Linked DNA regions of Arabidopsis thaliana. The protein of the gene in region 2 interacts with the protein of the main gene of each other region in a pairwise test. Each region holds a gene or a part of one and is shown on either strand. Other genes may lie near its edges.

The links.
Region 1: the proteins of AT1G12500 (region 2) and G1 interact in a protein complementation assay, tested with the Arabidopsis thaliana proteins (one large-scale study listed by BioGRID).
Region 3: the proteins of AT1G12500 (region 2) and CPK6 interact in a protein complementation assay, tested with the Arabidopsis thaliana proteins (one large-scale study listed by BioGRID).
Region 4: the proteins of AT1G12500 (region 2) and AT4G30240 interact in a protein complementation assay, tested with the Arabidopsis thaliana proteins (one large-scale study listed by BioGRID).

Annotation. Positions count from the first base shown.
Region 1 is NC_003074.8:19,208,663-19,213,128, forward strand, and holds G1 (transmembrane protein G1P-related 1), read right to left. Parts: upstream 2,188-4,466; 5' UTR 2,002-2,187; coding exon 1,231-2,001; 3' UTR 853-1,230; downstream 1-852. Other genes in the region: ATG2 (metallopeptidase M24 family protein), read right to left, coding at 2,599-2,675, 2,764-2,964, 3,026-3,117, 3,204-3,340, 3,426-3,641, 4,128-4,281, 4,374-4,466. UniProt on the Arabidopsis thaliana protein: Heme-binding chaperone that may be involved in cytochrome c maturation in mitochondria.
Region 2 is NC_003070.9:4,262,353-4,267,307, forward strand, and holds AT1G12500 (Nucleotide-sugar transporter family protein), read right to left. Parts: upstream 2,805-4,955; 5' UTR 2,606-2,804; coding exon 1,934-2,605; intron 1,604-1,933; coding exon 1,190-1,603; 3' UTR 798-1,189; downstream 1-797. Other genes in the region: CCS (copper chaperone for SOD1), read right to left, coding at 4,925-4,955.
Region 3 is NC_003071.7:7,514,068-7,520,659, reverse strand, and holds CPK6 (Calcium-dependent protein kinase family protein), read right to left. Parts: upstream 4,331-6,592; 5' UTR 4,004-4,330; exon of another isoform or gene 3,805-4,003; intron 3,717-3,804; 5' UTR 3,656-3,716; coding exon 2,938-3,655; intron 2,782-2,937; coding exon 2,638-2,781; intron 2,546-2,637; coding exon 2,393-2,545; intron 2,301-2,392; coding exon 2,185-2,300; intron 2,093-2,184; coding exon 1,925-2,092; intron 1,839-1,924; coding exon 1,614-1,838; intron 1,532-1,613; coding exon 1,421-1,531; 3' UTR 998-1,420; downstream 1-997. Other genes in the region: AT2G17280 (Phosphoglycerate mutase family protein), read right to left, coding at 5,816-5,894, 5,982-6,026, 6,121-6,240, 6,332-6,420, 6,505-6,579. UniProt on the Arabidopsis thaliana protein: May play a role in signal transduction pathways that involve calcium as a second messenger. Functions in abscisic acid (ABA) regulation of guard cell S-type anion- and Ca(2+)-permeable channels and stomatal closure. Phosphorylates FD.
Region 4 is NC_003075.7:14,806,938-14,812,086, forward strand, and holds AT4G30240 (Syntaxin/t-SNARE family protein), read right to left. Parts: upstream 3,139-5,149; 5' UTR 2,809-3,138; coding exon 2,726-2,808; intron 2,519-2,725; coding exon 2,404-2,518; intron 2,304-2,403; coding exon 1,719-2,303; intron 1,644-1,718; coding exon 1,544-1,643; intron 1,442-1,543; coding exon 1,422-1,441; 3' UTR 1,385-1,421; intron 1,299-1,384; 3' UTR 952-1,298; downstream 1-951. Other genes in the region: AT4G30230 (uncharacterized protein), read left to right, coding at 1-221; AT4G30250 (P-loop containing nucleoside triphosphate hydrolases superfamily protein), read right to left, coding at 4,325-5,149.

The DNA.
Region 1 (4,466 bases), on a different chromosome or scaffold from region 2:
ATATAGTGAGAGATTTAACTTGATATGGTCCCCAACCAAAAGAACTTATAGGCCTAAAATCTGAACTTTCTCTGAACCAAAAAACAAAAACTATCTACGAGGAATATGGAATAATCTAGTTAGTATAGGGCAGCAAGTATAGTAATGGTGATTTGTCCCATATTCAAAATGGACCAAGCACACAATAGCAATCGAATATAGTAGTGACAAATATCGTAATGCTCTTGTTCCATACTTGATAGTCAGTATTTTTGATGACTCAATCATATACCACTCGTTCCATACTTGATAGTCAGTTTTTGTTGACTGAATCATATACCACCCACGATAAATTTGCTATACAATGAGAGACTGATGCATATATAAAGATGCACTTAAAAAAAGCAAAAGCAATAGCGTAACTGCGGAACACTTCAAACTACAGCTACATTAGTAGACTAGTAGTTGGTTATCAACCAACAAGCCTAAGAGAAGTGCCAAAACAGAAGCCAATGCCATGATTCTAGAGGCAAAAACTAGGCACCTAATCGACTCAGAAAGTACAAACTTGAAATCTCCAGGGCCAGAATTGCCTAGTTGAAACATAAGATGCATAAAAGGAATGCATGACCATCTTCAAGATTGTCAACAAGCTCAACCCATATTTATAAAACAACAAAGAAAGAGCTTGGAACCTCCAGAACAACTAAGAGGAAGCTCTGAAAGACCTGTATGTTCAACTCTTTTGGCTATAGTACCTAGTCATGATAAGAATAAGGTCACACAAGCTACAACTTTGGTGATACGTTTACAATTATATACCCACGACCTGATGAAGCTAATAAGATTCACTAGATCAATCTAATCTGTGTGCAGCAACAAAACATAGCTTCTCTAATCTGTGTGCACATCAACAACAAACAAAACATCCAACAACACAATGAATCAAGCAGCATATTTGATCCCTCGTCAAAGTGTTCTTTATTTGATCAACACAACAAGAAAGTAGATTAGCTTATAGCTTTGTGGAATCAAACAAAGCTATTGTATAGTGTATCACATTTCTCCACTTAATTCTCAAATAGACTCAAAAATCAAATCTCTGTTTTCCAGGAATATAACATTCCAATCTTCCTACTCTTTTCCAGAAACTATAATCAAATATAACCTTATAAGATGAACAATACTCACCAAAAGCTCGAACTTGGGGAAAATTTTGATTAACTTAAAAAGAATGAAGTTTATACCAATCTAAGAAGCCGCAACTTCAGCAGCTTGTTCAGTCGCCGCCGCTTCAATAATTTTCTTATTCTTCTCAATCGCCGCCGCAACTTCCTGTGGCATATACTTCTCATCATGCTTAGCCAAAACTTCAGTCGCCGAGAAGAAACAATCGAGGTTCCTAGCTTTCTTCGAAATAGGTTTTGTAGAAACTTCCTTCCTTACTTCATCTGTATACGGCTTAATGAATCCTTCAACCACAACTGAATGACCTTCCCTAAACAGATCCGGCAAAGATCCTTTATACCTAACCAAAATATCAGTGATCAGATCAGTGATCACAAACTCCATCTCCTGTGACGCCGCCGGCTGCGCAACGCTACCTTCTAGAACCAAACCACCGAGTCTGAATTTGTTCTTTGTTGGATTCTCTGCGAATTTCTCCATAGCGTCTGATGGCGTTAGGTAGAAGACAAGCTGATCCTGAAATTGGTTAAGGACGATAACTACGAATCCGGCGATGCAGCTGAAGGTTAGCGCGTAGGTCCATAAACGGCGATTCTGCATCTGACGCGCTTTGGCTCCGATATCGATTTTCTTAGGACGTGTTGGACCGCGACGAGCGATGGAGAGAGATCGGAGGAAGGTTAAGGATGATAATCGCGATGGATCTGGTGAGGCGGTGGTCAATGAGTGAAAAATCGGGCAAGGTGGTGATTCGAATGACGATGAGATTTGAGGATTTCGTTGAATTGATCGGAGGATTTGAGAACTTCGACGGAACAATAACCTAGCTGCCATTTTCCGGGAAGATTGATTTTTCCTCGTGGGAATCAATCAAATTCCCGAGAGCGAGAGGTTTATGGGGTTTTCTGGAAAAATGAAAAAGAAGCCACAAGCCGCCCCACTGAAGAACTATGGACCACGTCAAGAACCCTCTCTGTGGTTTAGAGGGTTCAATCACAATTTCTTAAGTGAAATTCTGATTACTATTCGTTACAATCTCAAAATCAACCAATCCAAAAATCTGTATAAGCTTCGATTATTGAAGAGCTGAGTTTTTTTCTTCTGTCACAAATATTTCTCTTCTGTGGGATCAAATCCTTACCACGTAAACACATTCAAAGAGTAGTTTGTTGGTAACAAGTGTTTCTAAACAGAGTTATTGTTATAGCCTGAAACCAGATAAGTATTTTTGATTAGAGAATGAGATAAGATTAGGACAAGCAAAGAAATGATGATGAAAAGTGCTTTGTGCAAAAATATGCACAAAGGTGGTAAACTATTGTTTGTTTTTTTTTGTTTAAGAAGAGACTCTCTTGAAACCCAAACATACAACGAAAGAGGTACCTCAAGTTTCAAAAATTCTTTAAAAGAAACAAAGACAAATCTTCCTACTCATTCTTGAGCATTACTACTTGCGTCCATTGGCTCAGCCTCTGTTGAAGCCTCTCCTTTCTCTCCCGCCTTTTGGGCTGCAAAACACCAAATTGAACCTTTTTAATCAACATGTGGATCACGTCATATAAGGTAAAAGTCTGGAAATTTATTTTAAGTTCTTACCTTTCTTCTTCTTTCCACCACCTTTCTTCTTCTTGATGCCCAAAGCTAACCACCCTTTGATCTCAGGGTCTTCGATGGTCTTTTTAGGAAGTTCCTGAAGTGTATGTGAAGTGATCCTATCTGATCCATTTGGCATCAGCAAAACTGTGAACTTAATCTGAGCAACAAAATCCCCTGGTAGAAAACCAAAACGACATGAGCCTTGATATCAAGATTCAGATAAAAGAGGTTTATAGATTCAAAACCCTTTCATCATCCTTACCAGGCTTCTCGTAAAGAACAGGATATGGTTGCAAATGACCATGGTTCACACACTCCACAAGTCCAAGCCGTGCCCTTTTCTCCTCCAGTGACCTGTATTGATAATACTCTCAGGTAACGTTAGCAAGTGAGATAATAGTTTAAGGAATATAAAATGCTTCAGAAGGTACAAAAGACACCTTGCAGTGAATGGCATACGGGGGAAGTTCTGTTTAATTTCGCTGATTATGAATCTGGAGGCCTTCATCTTCAACTGATAGTTAACACTTTCATCTTTCTTGTAAATAGTTGTTTGCTTCTCGTCTAATAGCTTTGGCTGCAAAGTCAAAGATTGTGAGAACAATGGCAATAGACAAAGGTTCACCAATAGTGATCGGGATGCGATAAACAAAAGAAATTACCTTGCCATCACCAGTACTTGCCACAATATCTATTGCATAGACTTCATTCTCTTCAAATTCCACTTCGTCAACAGTTGTTTCAGGGCTGGATACACTAAGCACAACCTTGTTTCCATCTATCACATGCTGTTTCAGCTGGTGGGAAAGAACACCTTCAACAATTTTGCAGTCATAAGCTGCAGCTACCTTCTGAATAGCTTCAGTTACATCAGTGTTCTGCGATAAGAAAAACAGAATATCAATGTCTTGATTGCAATATGTTGTAGTACTAAACAAGAAACTACAAACTCGTAGCAAGAAACTTTATTTTAAAGAACTTTCCCACATCAGAGTAACTACGGCCTCATTTGGATGCGAATCCATAACAATTACGGTCTTCATCCAGAAATCTTTTCCCAAAACAATTTACATTTGAAGTCCGCTAAAAAAAAAAAGCATCGTGCAAGACCAAGAGAGGAAAACCTTAGACAAAGTTCCAACATCTCATAGTAAATCCAACGAGGGATCAGACTAAAAATCAGAATAAGAAAAATCCCATCAGAGTAACTATGACAAAAAAGCATCATATGGATAATAATCCATAGCCATTTATTAAGTGTTCATCATCTGGGTTTTGTAAAACCTTGACAATCATTCAAGAGGCAGTTATAGTACCAAAAGCCTATAGTTTCAAGTTTAATGTAAGAGTAAAACTGATGATACCTTTTTTCCAGGACGTACGAGCCTTAGAGCAACATCAGCTGCAGTATTTGCGGCAGCGATAACATCAGCCTTACGCCCACTAAGAGGCCCTTCTTGAAGAACATGTGTGTGACCAACAAGGGCAATGAACCCATCAATATGACATCCCATATCGCTGCAATTGAGAAACGCAAAACAACATCAGAAATAACACAGGTGAATCATACAGAAACATCTAAAAACAGGTATTACTTGAAGACAACTTACATTTTAACCATGTCACCATCTTCCAACACAGACTCATCACTAGCAAGCGGTGAAAAATGACCAACAGTGTTGTTCACAGAAATGCATGTAGGG
Region 2 (4,955 bases):
TCTTCTGTCTACAAAACATAATTTGAGTCCGTTAAGTTGGACCGGTTCGGTTTAGTTAATTCGATTGCTTTTTGCTCTCTTGTTTGGTTAAAACTTATAAACTTAACATATAATACTAACATTTTGGAAAAAGGGGTCGAAAGATTAAAGCAACCAAACATATGTGCAGAAATATGAATGGCATATATTCTTCTTCTTTGTAAGAGATTTTTCTATGAATTTCGTTCCAAAATGCTTTACTTTTTTATATGCAATTTATGAGAATGAGACCACAACAACTTAGATTGGTGTACATATATCAAATGAAACATGTAATATAACAGTCCTATAACTACTTATAGAAACCTAATTAAACTATTACGTAGTGTTACCACCTTAAAAGGTTAACAAACCTTGACAAGTAAGTCTAAAGATAAACTTAACCTACATTAGCTAACATATCATCATCTTTTCAAACCCATTTAATACTGATTAAATCCTAGATGTCAGGTTGCTTCAGCTGAGAATAGCTTGATTACCCAATTATATTAATCAATAAAAATGTGTGTGTGCCTAACATTTTTGTAACAAAGAACGATATCTTATGCTAAGCTCAATAGGTTTTAGATCAAAATAATAATTCCAAATCATAATAAGAATACATGATCTAGAACAATATGTTACAAGTGAATTAATGAGCAAGTTGCCAAAAAAAAGAGCAAGTTGCCAAAAAAAAGAGCAAGTTGCTTAAGAAAGGTGTAAATTTAACCCACCAGATGAAAATGCGATTTCGCCTAACAGAAAAGACTCGAATCAAAAGTAGAAAGAAATTTATTATTTTGACTATTTTCCTCACTATGTTTCGATAATTTTGGTAAGACAAACTATAAAACATAATAGTACAAGAAAAGAAAAAACTAAAAGAAAGTAAAATAAAATAAAGATACAATCTTATTTCCTTTAATTATGCTCCCTACTTTTTCACTTTTGTTACATAAATATATCTCCACTTTTCTTTTCATAGTTTTTCCCCAATCTCAACCATTTACAATTAAATTGATTTTCCCCCTCTCAAAACGAACCAAACCGGTTCCAAACAATAGCAGAATTCCAAAGAATCAAGAAACTAAACCGAAAAAAAAGAAGTAAAAATTAAAAAGTAAAAATTACTTCACCGGTTTAAATCCAATAATCTTTCTCTTCACACTTTTCACTTCTGGTTTAGCAATTTGGATCTCTTCCTAGCTTCGCTATAGAGAACCACACCCATAATCGTCACACCAAATCCGGCTATTCCCATCACCGTCACCGGATTCCTAAATATCAAAACCGAGACTCCGGCAGCCACCGCAGCTTTTCCGTTCCCCAAAACCTGCAATGTGAGAGCACTTGTATGCTTTGTCACCAAGAAATTCGTCAAATTCACTAAATATGCCACTGTCGCATTCCCGGCTAACAAGAAGATGATCAATGGATCCGTCCTCGCTTTCTCGATTAGAACTCTTAAAACGTTTCCTTCAATGTATAGCGTAAATGGTAGTAAGATACAAGCCGCCATTGGAGCCATGTATAGCAAAAGATTCATAGAATGTAGCTTCTCCGATTCCGACGTCAGAATAATCCCCTACAAAATACACAAAATCCGGTTCAACCAAACCAATAGTGAGATCCAATAGACGCAATTCGATCATACCGATCGATTAGAATCTGAATTATCTGTTTAAATGCTATAGATTGAAATTCAGACAGAGACTGAACTAAACCGGACTCATTTCAGTTCTAAGAATAAAAACCGGATTCGAACTGGAACTAAATTTCTTCCAGATTTGTTATAATAAACCTGGATTCGGAAAAATTTAAGAGTGATGTTTTGTAATAAAATCGAAATTCGAACGCAATTTCTGATTCTCTTAGTACTAAAACGGAAAATTCAATACACCAAACCGATTAATACCTGGACGACGGATTTGAGAGCTCTACCGGCGGTGGAAGCAACACAGATAAGGAAACCAAAAAGATGAAAAGAAGGTTCAGAGTTAGAAGCAAGAACGATGCCGGAGACAACCGGAAGAAGAGCTAAATAAACTTCAGTGGACTCTGTTTTACAAGTAATGAGAAAAGAGAACACGGCGGTGAAAAACGGCGTCGTAGCTCCAATAGCTTGATTAAAAGAAACAGGGATATAACGTAGCGAAGTGTTGCCACAGACGACGGAGAGACAAAAGATCGCTGACAAAGAGAGGATCTTTAGAAACTGACGGCGAGATAAGATGTGCTGACGTGGCACGATTCCGGCGATATTGATTACGGCGGAGCTATAGGCGGCGCATGATAACATGTGTGTCATGGTGAGGAAGATTGGGTAACGGAAACCGTAGTAGAAGAGAAGGTATTTGTTTAAGAGGAGGACTCCTATATTTGAGCCAAACCAGGCGGCGATTATAGCCGCCGTGAGGATTGTTGGTGATACGGTGGGGGAAGAGAGGAAGAAGGGTTTGAGTGGTGAAGAAGCGGAGGAGTGTGGTGGTGTTCCGGGGATGTCTACGATGGTTGGTGCGGCGGTTGCGGCGGCGTCGAATCTAGGATTGCTCATCCGCCGCGTTGTCCATGATTGAGCTTCAACCATTTTTCGGATAGGGGCGAAATGGGAATAACAATAAGTTTTTCTTCTTTCTTTCTTTTTCTAGAGAGAGAGAGAGAAAGTGTGAGTTTTTATCTTTTTCGGTGGGGATTGAGATCTGAGTGAGTGAAGAAGAAGAAGAAGGAAGATGATTAATCGGACGGTGGAGATTCAGATTTAGCTGTAAAGGTTTAGAATGATATCAGCCGTTGGATCTTATAGTTGGAGGGAATTGTTATATTTAAAAATAAAAGAAAAATAAATAAAAAGACAAATCTAAGAAAATTAATTTTAAGATTCGAAGTCTTGTGTTCGGAGACTAAGCATGAGTCAGAAGTGTCGGTAGTAGGTCCACATTTGAGATCCGATGGAAGCAATCCTCTATGACGCAGCCTAATTTGTAATTACATACAAACCCCACTCACTAATTATTTAGCCTCTCTTTTCAAGTTTTGTTTTTAATAATTGTCCCTTAATACAATATTAGCAATAGTTGAAACACACATTAGCCTAACATTAACATTCCAGAACACACCAAAAATTAAAAAATCTCAACTAACAAAGTTGGATAAGTCACATTTATATATGGTTACATCAAAACAAATGCGTCGGTGTTGACCAGATTTAGACTCTCTCTTTTTTGGGTTGATTATATATGTTTAGATTTCAAAGAAGCATTTGAAACTATTTACATTTGACAATAGAGGTCGTACATTTTAATAAAGGTTGTCACAAATACCAAAATCTAATCAGATCTGTGAAGTAAATAACGCGATTTTTCTTTTGCATCAGCATTAATCACGCATTGTGTTTATCATCGAAATGACTAATTGACTATATAAGTCATCTAAATATATTAATAGATTTGTTATGTCATTCAAAGTTCAATACCAATTATGGTAACAAAATAGATTATAAAAGGGATATTATAATTCGAGAAAAGGGGACTTGGCCAATAGAATGCATTATTCTTTGCTACTTTCTGCAAAATATTTTCTTTATCGCATTGCATAGATTAAATTATTTTATACGTTCATTACTTGCCATTTTTCCCACTGATCATGCATGCGATTGCTAATATCTAAGGTGATAATAATTTTGTTAGGTGACTTTTGTGAATTCGACAAATATATCCTTCATGCGAAAGGAAAAAAATAACATGGTGGATAATAAATTTGATAAGAGCCATATTAATGAATTACAAAAAGAGAAACTGTTCGTTGACAAAAAAAAATGTCCCACACTGAAAAGGAATCCAAATATGAAAGATGCAACACAGAAATCATGATTTTCTACGAGTGTGTGTAATAGGTAAGAGCTATCTTTACTTAGAAGGACCAGCTCACTTTATCTGTCTTCTTTGCATTCCCTAAAAAAACGAAATGACTCCTTTTGTAAATTGCCGTAAGACAAAATCCAATGAATGATAATAAATGATTACAGCACGTCACTTAGTAAGAAACATTTAGAATGATGAATGTCTACGTATACTTATGATATCATCAAATCAACTAATTCACTAGCTAAAGCTAATCCTTTTATTTATGTAGTAGTTTAGACTAAATAAATAATTATGTATCGACCTTCATAAATTAAAACCAAAAAAGTATGTATGGCTCCCTAATAAAAAAACCAGACAACAGAAATTACACCAAAATGTTTGAAGTTTGATGTTCTGTCTAACCATTACTATTTAGTTTAATACTACAAAGCAATCAATTTTTAATGTAAGAAAAAAACATAGTATATAATAATTCATCTCTGACAATGTGAGATTTTATTATTTGAGAGTAGTTTATAGCAGCACATAACATTTCACATGTTCTTGGAATTCAAAATTCTATATGATTTAAATACTTCTTACGTTTACCAGAATAAATTATGTAGGGCACAATATTGTAGGAACCATTTGTTTCCATGTGCGACCCAATTTTAGTGGGCCAAAAACAGTGAAACTAAAGCTAGTTGCTGATAGGGCCCGCGTGACAACGAAACATTATCTAAAACATTTGGTCTATACTATTACAAAAGCAAAATGGCTTCGCCCGGGTTCGAACCGGAGACCTTCAGTGTGTTAGACTGACGTGATAACCAACTACACCACGAAACCTGTTGAACATTGATTAGATACACACAATATATAGTATAGTGATCAAATTCTGATAGGGGCTCAACATTAGTTACGCAATTGAAAGTACAGAGAGTTTTGGTACAAAACAAAAAGCTTGTGTTGTTTCAATATAAACCTCAAGTTTTGATACAAAACAAGTTCTCAATCACTAAAAAACGTAACGTTTTATAAAATGTATGGTTGTTGACTTGTTATTAAACCTTACTGGCCACGAAATCGCTGTTT
Region 3 (6,592 bases), on a different chromosome or scaffold from region 2:
GATAACCCGACCGAGCAGCTCGAACCCGACCGTAAACGGATCAGGAAAACTGCTCGGGGGATGAGAAATCACCGGATGCATCCTCGTTCAGTCCGCTGTTGTGTAAAGTGTCATACGGCACTTCCTATCTATGGGATTGCTTCTTCATTAGGAATAAACTTCTATACAAAACAAACGAGTAGGATATAGAGAATCAAGAACCAAACATCTATGGAATAATCAAGCTCAGCAAAGTTTGAGAGGTTTATGAAGATATTAGAGACGCTAGATTTATTTATATAGATGGTAGGAGGCGGCATAACTCAAAACCCTAATCTTCTACGTGTGCGTACATGTATTGTTTAGTTTTATTATATTTTTAATCTTTGATATATGAGGATGTGCTTTATTTTCTCGTAACGACTGATTTAATGATCTTTTTTAATTTACTTTGTAGACGAAATTTGACCAATCTATTTCACCATTTTTCGGAAAACTAAATAAAAGGTGACATAAATAACTCACTGCATGTGGTGTGAAATGTATATACATTAATACATACGAACATACGATGCATATATATAAATAAGTGGGAGCACATGGTTTCCCTGTCATGTTCCAATCCACCACATTGGGACCAATGTATGATTGATTGTTTCGAACAACCTTAAGTTTGGTTCTAAGACATCACTTTGATTACATGATTGAGACTTAGTAGCTATCATCATACAGTATTCCACATTTTACATCAATTATTGCTCTTTTATTACATAAATTTTTGTGTATATACACACACTCATGTGTTCATATGTACATACATGTTTATGTACTTACAGATTCAGATGTAATTAGAGAAAGAAATTAGTGGACAGAAACTTGTAACATAGTAGTTGACTAGTTGTATTAATGTTGTCGCTATGACTCCAATTTGGAAGTATGCATGTGAGAAAAGACGACCAAAGCCGAGCTAAAAAGTTTAACAAACCAAAGTGAAGAGTATGCGTTTGTGTACTAACAACAGCAACAACAACTAAAAGGTGGAAGATTGTCACACAACTTGTATATCACATTTGTACTATATTGGAAGATGATTTGATCTTTCAAAAACCCAAAAAGGGTCAAAGCTTTCGACGATGGAGATGAAATAAAAACCAAACTTAAACAGTTGTTACAAACAAACAAAACAGAGAGAGAGAAAATAGAAATAGTCCTCACAGCTACTGATGAACAGAACTTAACACTTTTTTTTTATCTTTCACCATTTTTTAATCATACAGTAGTTTTTAACATTTTTAACTCAAACCTTCAACGATTTAGCTGGTTCGCTGCAGCTATGAATCTGGTTTCTCTTCCTCCTCTGTGATTAAACATTGCAAATGTTGATTCCATGGAAACATTTGCATCCTCACCGAATAGACGATTTAAAGATGTGTGTATGTGCCTACACATCTCTCATGCTGATGTTTAGACTATTTTTCATTGTTCTTCTCCCTACACCAGCATTTCCCTTTTGCATCATCGCAACAAATTCTTCGTAATCAATCCGTCCATCCTGTAAGAAACAAAAACCAAAACTTTATTAGCAAACACCAATGGTGAAGAGTGGAAGAATCATGTCAAGAGGCAAAGCTTACGTTGTCTTGATCTACTTCTTTGATTATGTCTTCAAGAAAAACATCGGTCATCCCATGTTCAATGCAAGATTGTTGCAGCTCATCAATGGTGATGTAACCACTTCCATCTTTGTCAAAGTACTGAAATGCAGAGACAAGATGCTCTTCTCTCTCTAGTTTATTCAGATGGATCGTCGCTGCAATAAACTCGCTGTAATCTATTGTACCGCTGTTGTCCACATCAGCCTAAGATACAACACAGAGAGTATGGTTATTGTCATCTATATAGCGAAATGAACTAGTGTGCATATCTCAAAAGGATGCATTGTTACCGCTTCCATAAGATCTCGGATCTCGGTGTCTTTCAAGGTTGATCCATATCTTCTCAAGCCAGCTTTGAGTTCATCAAAAGTGATTGCACCGCTGTTATCAGTATCCATTGCCTCAAACATTGCTCTTAAACCCGCAATCTCTTCTTCTGAGAGGCTCTCAGCTATCACCTGATCATTCCATAATCACTAATATGAGTAAACATATCTCAAACGAATGTGATGCAGAGACAATAGAAGATTGAGTATAACTACAAACTGACCTTTAAAGCCATCTTCTTTAATTTATTCATTGCAGAAAACTGTTTTAGACGAGACAAAACAGCCGGGTCAAGTGCTCTATCCGGTGCAACTCCATTCTCACAGATCCATGGATGACCTGAAAAAAAAAGAGATACATACAAGAGATATAGTCTAATGTTGTGTGGCTGCCAAATGTAACCATTTATTTAAGTGTAATTGATTACGTACGCAAGACTTCATGAGCAGTCAAACGTTCAGAAGGACTAGAGCATAACATCTTCCGGATCAGATCTTTAGCACTGTCGGATATGACAGGCCACGGGTCTGTATCAAAGTCAATATATCCCTTCAACACAGCATCAAATATTCCTTGCTGTGTTTCTGATTTCAAAAACACAAAACCAAACTTCAGGAAACCTTGTCAATGGCACTAATTAAGAGAACGCATTGAAACAGCTATATCGCCCGCATACCTGCCCAGAAAGGCGGGACACCACTTAGTAAGATATAGAGTATAACACCAGCAGTCCACACATCAGCTTCTGGACCATAATGTTTTAGAAGAACCTCAGGAGCAACATAGTATGGACTTCCAACAACATCCTTGAATATTTGGCCTGATATTAGAGTAAGACTACACATTATGCAAAGCTGAAACATTTACATTCCCTTACTCATTTGATGAATAGAAAGTCACAGTAATGTATACTACAAAACACATCATGGTACTTAAATAGATTCAGAACAATGAGAAACTCGCAACTAACGCTTACCTGGTTTGAAGAAAACAGAGAGACCAAAATCAATGGCCTTAAGAGAGAAATCATCATCCTTATTAACCAACAAGAAATTCTCAGGCTTTAAATCTCTATGCATAACACCAAGAGAATGACACGCCTCAACAACACCGACAATGATCTTGGTCAACTCAGCAGCTTTCCTCTCGCTGTAATGACCTCTATGAATAATCCTATCAAACAACTCACCACCAGCACAAAGCTCCATCACAATGTGAACATACAAAGGATCCTCATAAGCTCCTTTAATAGTAACAATATTCTTGTGACCAGCTAAATGATGCATAATCTGAATCTCCCTCCTAACATCCTCAACATCTTCTTTAGATATCAATTTCCTCTTGGATATAGACTTACAAGCATAGTCAACACCTGTGGCAATATCAGTACACAAATACGTTGTCCCGAATTGTCCTTGTCCTAACTTACGACTCAACGTGTAAAGATCACGAATGTTAGGAGTCTTGTGACCAAGAACATAGTAAGATTGATTGTCAACGTTACGCCGCATAATGGGTTCTTTAACAGGAATCACAAGAGCTGGATTGGTGTTCTGTTTGGAGAAATCTTGGTCTGTAGTAGGAGAATGAACAGAGGAAACAGTAGTGGTGGTGGATTTGGAATTCTCCTCGGGCCTACTATGATTGCCCTCGTAGATTTTGTCCTTAAAAGAACCACGACATGAATTGCCCATGAAACAAACTCTCTCTATTTCACAACTTTTTTCACTTTCTTCTTCTCCTCATCCAACGAAACTGTTTCATGAACAAACATACACAAAAAAAATCAGATAAAGAGAAGCCAAAAAAGTATCAAACTTTGGAACGAAATCAAAGAACCCACATCAGATCAAGCTTCAAAAAACATAATTGTTTTGTAACATAATCAAAGATTAAAGAAAAAAAGACAAGAGCTCCTGAAAAGTCGTAGCTTTAAATGTTCATCGATCATTATAGATCCCAAAAAAGAATCAAAGACACAACAATAAATGAAGAAATCATTTGGTAATAAAAGAAACATGAGAAAACAGAGGATCTAGTACCGGAATATAGCAGAACAGCGAGAAGACGATGAAATGGAGACGAAGAAGAAATGGGAAAAACTCAAAAAAGGATAATTATTCGTTGATAGTTTTTGTTTAAGTCAATAACAAAAGAGAAAAAATGGTTTCTTTGTTATGTTATTGTTTAATAGTATATATCTCTATATGTGTTGCTGTTTCTGGTTGGGTAATTGGATTCGTTGAATCATTAGAGAGTGTTAAAAAGATTGATTCTTTTGTGGATTTGTGAAATGATGAAGGAGAGAGGATGGTGCAAAGAAGAAAGGTCTTTTACGCGGTTTCGTCTCACCTTCTTCATTCCTTAATTGCTTGTTTAATTAGTATTAATTTAAGGGATCATCATCTTTTACTGGTGTAATGATACTTAGTGCAAGTAGGGAGAATAAAAAATTGCAATAATTTGTTTAGGATAACTTATTATTAAGAGAATGATTATAAGCCTAACGTTATACTAGCTTTTTTTAAGAGTTGGATGTGCTTAACTTAGCTAACTACAAAATATTATTATTAGATGCATATAGTTAAGAGTTAATTTATGGTCTTGATTAACAGATCGAAACAATGGACAACTAAATTTGTTCTGAAAACTCAAGTTTTATTATGTTGACTTTTCACATTGGTTCATCAAAGATGTCACATTCTTTTTTACTTTTGCTAGTATATAGGCTTTCTTGAATAAACATTTTGGTATGTCTACGTTGAAATAACAACTAGTACAGTATAAATCAAACTTTTAGCACTGAAAGTTTTGCATAATTTTACCAATAATTAGTGAAGTATATAGGATATCACTTTTTTCTTACAAGAACTAAGGCATGGGGCATGTCATTGTCGGGTAGTGAGTAAGATCGCAGACTACAATTTGTCTCGCACGTGGTACAAATTTAGTTTGGGTGTACTTTTTTTTTCTTTTTGACATCACAGTATTGTACTTACAGTTTTTTTATTTTCCAATAGATAACTTTACAAACCGTGAATCATATCATTTAAAAAAAAAAATCGTTCTCTTAAACGGATAAGAAGCTAGACCTACTTTAAATTTTACATTGTCGAGTGTTCTTTAAAAGATCTTATCATATGTTCAAAATTGGGGAACAAAAAATTTCGAATTCCTAATGGTAAAAGCTTTCTCCAATAGTTTGGAGAGAGCGTAATTTCTATAAAGAATCTGAATACGATTATCGATTATATTAAAGTCCAAATACATAGAACGTACGAAGAGCATTAAACTTTGATCTACTTCTATAAAAACACTTAAAACATTTTCTATTTTCATAAAAAATCTCAACACCAAAAGATAAAACCTAGTACTATAAGAAAAGCTGAGTGTAATTTTTGGAATTTTCTCTTTGTTTTATTAAAATGCTTGGCCATAAGAAAATTCAACACAGCTGCCATAAAATATGAAGTTGATCTTACATAAATAATGTTTTAAGTTTCTGCTGGTTCTCATGTTGATAGAGATAAATCTACTCATCTAAGATTCACACTTATAATTTAGTTGCATCTACCAGTTCCTCTACTTGTAATGCTATTATTTCCACAATTGTATAATCACAGCTAAAATGAGAATTGGAGCAGAAATATTAAAGCTACCGCTAAATTTTGGATAATAACAATCATACAATAAATTCATGTAGCAGCAGAGTCAACCTACATGGCTACATACCAACACTAATGTTCATCAAATAACTGAAAATGCCAGATTCTAGTCCAATGGAAACATCATGTAATTTATTTATTTTAGAAAGAAAAACTATCTCAGAATTCTCTCTCTTACTCTTCAGCCATTTAGCCACTAGGATTATCAAGTCCTTCAGGAACCTTCCCAGGATAGTTTGTGGTCTCTGCAGAGTCAGTCCCCAGGTTCCTACACACCCAACACCATAATAAATAATCCAACACACTCTCAAATTATATTTATATTCTGTCAAAACTTATTGTAATTATTGCTTACCCTCGATCCACGATAACCATTGAGCGAAGCTCACAGTTGCTCAAACTGAACAAAGTTAAAGATGTTGATTAGTTAAACAGTTTCAAGTTATACAAATTGTTGGTGCTTGTAGACATCAAGTTTTTGTTTAAGCTCTTACTGTATAGACAACTCTTTCTTTAGGTCATCGCAACAATCCTTCCCGAAAGAACTCAAGAGACCGTGCAAGAAGCCACTGTGAGATACAATTGCGATCTCCTTCTCTTTCCTTGTCCATATCCTTCACAAAGCAAATGGCAGTAGAGAGATTCAGCTATACATATGTTTACATATATCTCCATGTGGAAATAAGTAACAAAAATGAAACTCACCATTTGATGAACTCTACACCTCTGGCTGCAACTTCTTCAAGGCTCTCTCTTGGACTCGGCTTCCACAGAACATCATTGTCGGTTTCAATCTAAAACCATAGAGGTCAAAGCATAAGCAACTTGCCAACATTTCCACAGAGATATATATTAACCATATAAGATGTTTTTCTTACAATTGAGAAATCAATAGCGGGAAAGAGAGCCTTGTACTCAGTGACGCTTCTTCGCCTGTCACAAGGATGATCACCCTGCATCCATAAA
Region 4 (5,149 bases), on a different chromosome or scaffold from region 2:
GAATGGTTAAGTTTCCGCCGGAGATCGAACTCAAGGATATAAAGAGCCGTCAGATTCGCCGGAATATTCCACCGGTTATGTTTCCATCTCCTGCTAACAGGAGAGCTCGTGGATCTCGGTCGCCATCACCGTCACCTTCTTGGAGGTTTCTCAACGCTTTAAGTTGCAAGAAGCCCACAAGCGTGGCTGCTACGGCGCCGTTTTGGGTTCCTCATCCATAAATTACTATATTATTCCTACGAACATTGTGCGCGGTTACTTGCTCTGCCGTTGATTAAGAAGGATAGGATCGTCATTTAGTATAAGAAATATCGATATTGTTAATTTATTTTGTGAAAGAATGTCGAAATTGTAATTTATTTGGTGAATCGATAATAGTTTGGACCATAACACATCTTATTCACACCTTTTTCTTTTTCTTTGATTTTTTCGTTATTTTGTATTTCAGCTCATTTAGAATATTTCAATATATATTTTAATAAAATTGTTTTTGAAATTGAATTGGTTAGGTGAGGAATGAATGATGATCAAAAGAAGCACGAGAAGGATATGAGAAAAATTTATTACCTTACTTTTCCCAATGGGACTAGTCGATTTTTAATGATTTAGACAGGAAGTTGTATCATTTTTTAGCATTTATCTGTGCTTCGAAGTTCATGGTTGATAAATGGTATGATCAAATTCCATCTTGAGAGACTGTGACATGCACCTTTCTTTTGTCCAGAGACTTCTAGATTCGAAAATTATTAGACATTTTTCTTTCTTCATAAATCTTTTTCACCATTATCATATGTCTATATGATACGACCTAATATTAAGATTTTTTACTTAGCTTAGAATTGACCTAAATTGGTACTTTTGGGCTGTGACACTATTAGTGATGAAAGAAATTGAGACGTCAACTATAATGCGCATTTTAAAAGAAAGTAAGACAATGATTGGAACAAATGACTTGCCAAGTAAGTGAAAGAGGACAAAGAATGTTTTGTTCCAAAACAAATATCTGAGAGACAAACAAACACTGGAGATATCATTGAGCACAAACACGCATTGGTTTCCTTTAGGTACACGTCTAAAGTTTAACGAAACGTCGTAGCTTCAAGTTTTACAAATTGATCTTACAAATTTACAGGTTCCTATATGTTCCCTGAGGATTAAGAGAGAGTAATAAATCAGGCTTTGTCCTTCATTTGAATCTTGACAAAGTCTTTTAATCTCTCCTCCTTCCCTCGAAGGATGTTGAATCATGTAGCATCTAACGAGTGTGTAACCCAATACGCAAGAATCTGTGAAAAAACCTGCAAGATACACGAAAAGGATGTAATGTTTAAAGATTGTTTTAGAAAACTTGGAGTTCTGATTTAGAATCTAAAATATCATTTACCTGTCAATGTTTCTTGAGAGTTTCTGAAACCGCGGTTTTAAGTTCTCAAGATGAATACTGCAAGGGTATAAACAAGGAATTTGATTCAGTTATAGAGAGTAGAGACTGTCATGGAACAGTGGTGTGACATAACTCATGAGAACCAAGAGAAGGACTCACATAGAAGAATCAAGATTAGCGTTAAGGAAAGAATGAGCTTAATAGGGCGGCTCAATGGAACGCGAAATCGTCTTTGATAAACCTTGACTCTGTCAAAGAGCTGCAAAATGATAAACAACTAAGACTTATGATCCTTTCTAATAGTGTAGAGATGATCCAAACTGCAGAAGCTTACCTGGTTATAATCACGACATCTCTGCAGCCAAAACATAGGTTTAGCTCCTTTCTCTTTAGGAGTGTCTTCAATATGTGATAGGAACTTCTCCCTCTCTTCTTCTTTTGCATTAACAGGGACATTAATCCTCAACGCACTGATATTTGGTACATTTGGTGAACTCCATGTTCTTCTTGTACCGCCTTTTTTATCTGCACTTTCCGGACTTCCTATGTCGTCAATGTCTATCACACAATCAGGACTGTCGCCATAACATCTACCCTCTCTTCTGCCATTGATCCCACGTGGATTCTCAGCTACAGAACTCGTTGAGGAATCTCTCAAGTTGATGCTATCACTGTTTAAACTCTCTGACGTCTGAGAAGATCCAGATAGAAACATGGCGAGATCATCACGCTCTTCTTTGTTAAGATCCACCCAACGCAAAGGTTGTTTCCCATTCTCGCTTAACGACTCTAGCAGAGTAGATTCCACTTGATAAATCTGGTTTTCAATAGCGGTAACAAACTGTTTATGCCTAGTTAAGGTAGTGTCATCTCGACAATTTCCATGGCTTAAGCTCACTGCCCTCTCAAACTCTTCCAACTGATTCAAGTCACAACAATATAACCAATATCACTAACACACTCATGAGTAACCATGAAAAAAAAAGGGAATGATCAAAGGACCATTGATTGTTTCATACCTGCCATTTAGCAGTGCTCAAAGCAGCTTGGAGTTCTTTGCAGAGCTCGTCTGATTCTACGGATACTCGACCGTCTCTCTTCTCTTTAAACCACAACCTATACGCAGATTCCATTCTGGAAATACAACACAAATAAGAAACAAAATTTCAAATTTGATAACTCAATTCCTTCACAAAACACAAAGGTTCTCACTTAGACCATTCTAGAGCCAATTAGTCCCCTAAACAATCGAAATACCCTATTTTTCAATTGAAATTCCGAATTCCACCATCACAAGCAACATGAGTCAATTAAACAAACAGAGAATCAAAAAACACATACATATCAGCAGATTCTTGAACCTCCTCAGCTGCAGAGAAAAAAACATCCTTTTGCCATAGATCGAAACTATTCGCTACCATCATCTTCGAAACCACACCTAAACCCTTCAAATTAAAGACCAAAAAATCAACCCGAAAAGATTCGTCGGAATAGATTCTCTCTCCGATTATAATCCAAAATTAGATTCTGCTTCCTTCTCTTCTCTTCTCTTCTCTTCCTTTTTTGCCTTCAGGAGGAAAGAAGGAATTTTTATTTTTTCTTCCTCCAGCTTTCTGTTTTTATTTTTTATTCCTTAAATTCTTCGATATTTCTTTGCTTTCTTCACTTTAAACGTTAATGGAAGATTTTAATAAAGAGGCCTCTCTGAACTAAATTGACCATATTTCACACGTGTTTTATTGTAATTGGGAAATAATTTAAAGTAAGATGGTCTTAGCTGCAGGAGATTACCGCTTGTCAAAGAAAAACATCAAGAATGTCCGTGTTGTTGTTGGGCCTACCGGTTTGCCGCAACATCAATTGTTCGCCAACCGCATTATATTATTATTATTATTCTTTATTTTAATACTCTCTATACAAGTCAAATGCTAATGAGTAAATAAATTCAATAAAAACTCAACGCTAATTTTAACTTTTAGTTTAGTAATAGACAGTAGGAGCAGGACAAATTGAGGTGGCATGTGTAGCGCATGTGATATCAAAATTTTAACTAGTTAAATTGAAATTCATAAAATGAAAACATGTTTTGGTGTTTTCAGTTTTGGAGAGACATGTTTTGTTAAATAAATTTAATTAATTAGTTGTTGTGATATGGTGAAATACCACCTTCTTCAACAAATCCCAACCTTGATTTTGGTGTTTTCAGTTTTAATTAGTTACCAAGACCTGTTTTTGTTCTTATTTAGACATTAACCGGTGGTAGATTCTAGAGATTGGGCCCATAATATATATATATATTTTTTTTGATCAAAAAGATTGGGCCCATAATATAAAACAACTTTTTTCTGATGCAAATCTCTTTGGGTAGGATTGGGCTTCACTACTACAATATGTCAAAAATCAGCGGTCAATATTATATTTAGAAAAAAAAAAAGAACGGATGGATTTTTCAGGTCACTTCTAGTTTGAAGTCAAGTGTTTGATGTGATGATTCTTTAAATGTCACTTCTCGAGTAAATTGTTTTCTTGAACTATAAATTTTGAAATTTACAGGTTTCACATATAACCTGTATAAAAAAGGGTGTGACACTAACCAATTTACAACACCCAAAGTCCAAACGCCAATTCTCTTTTATCTCTTCAAAACAAACGTAACCGACACGAAAATTTGAGACAACATATACAACAACAAAGTGGCAATTTCTGCAGCATTAGTAGATACAAAAGCCAGTTTAGTCTCAACTCTCATGTAGCAAATCTCAGAAGGTTAACTTTGGACAGTGCCTACTTTTGACTTAAGAGTAAACCAAAATGGATAACGTTATATTATATGGTAACTAATCATATATTATAATAATTTTGACTAAACAAAACGGATAATTAAAAACACACAAGAACCACCATTAGATGATGATCCTAGGATAAACAGTCTCTTATCATTCACTTCTCCTTCTCATCTTCTTCTTCTTCCTCCTCTCGAAACCCACAAACCTCTCTGTTTCTTCTATTAGGACTATCCAAAGCTCTCTTCTCTTGTTCTTCCTCTGCTTCTTCTTCTTCTTCTTGACCTTCCTGTTTCTTCTTCTTCAATCCAACACTCTTCCTTCTCTTCACAACTCTCTCCTTCAACACACTCACAATCTCCCTCACCGCCTTCTCCGCATCACTCCTATTCCTAATCAACACTTCACTAACATCAGCCGGAGTAATCTCTGCTTCCTCCACACATTCTTCCATCTCCTTCAAAACAACACTATCCATATCTTCTTCCTCAAGCCTCAGATAATTCTTCAACAGAATCTTCAAAGCCGGAAACTTACAAAAACCCATGTGAACATGCATATCCATCCTCCCACTTCTCATCAGAGCAGAATCTAACTTCTCTATATGATTTGTCGTGAACACAAATATCTTCTCACTCCCACAACAAGACCAAAGCCCATCTGTGAAGTTCAATAGCCCCGACAGAGTCACCGAGCTTCCCGGTTCCTCCAAACCCGACCCGTTTGTCAAACCTGGATCATATTCATAGCTCCCATTCTTCTTTTTGTTCTTTCCTCGTTTCGTCAAACTGATAGAACAATCAATGTCTTCGATGACAATGATAGACTTAGAGCTAGTCTTCATCAACAGCTTCCTCAATTCAGAGTTGTTCTGAACCTCAGTGAGTTCAAGATCGTAAATATCGTAACCAAGGTAATTCGCCATTGCAGCAATCAAACTCGATTTGCCAGTTCCAGGTGGTCCATACAACAAGTAACCTCG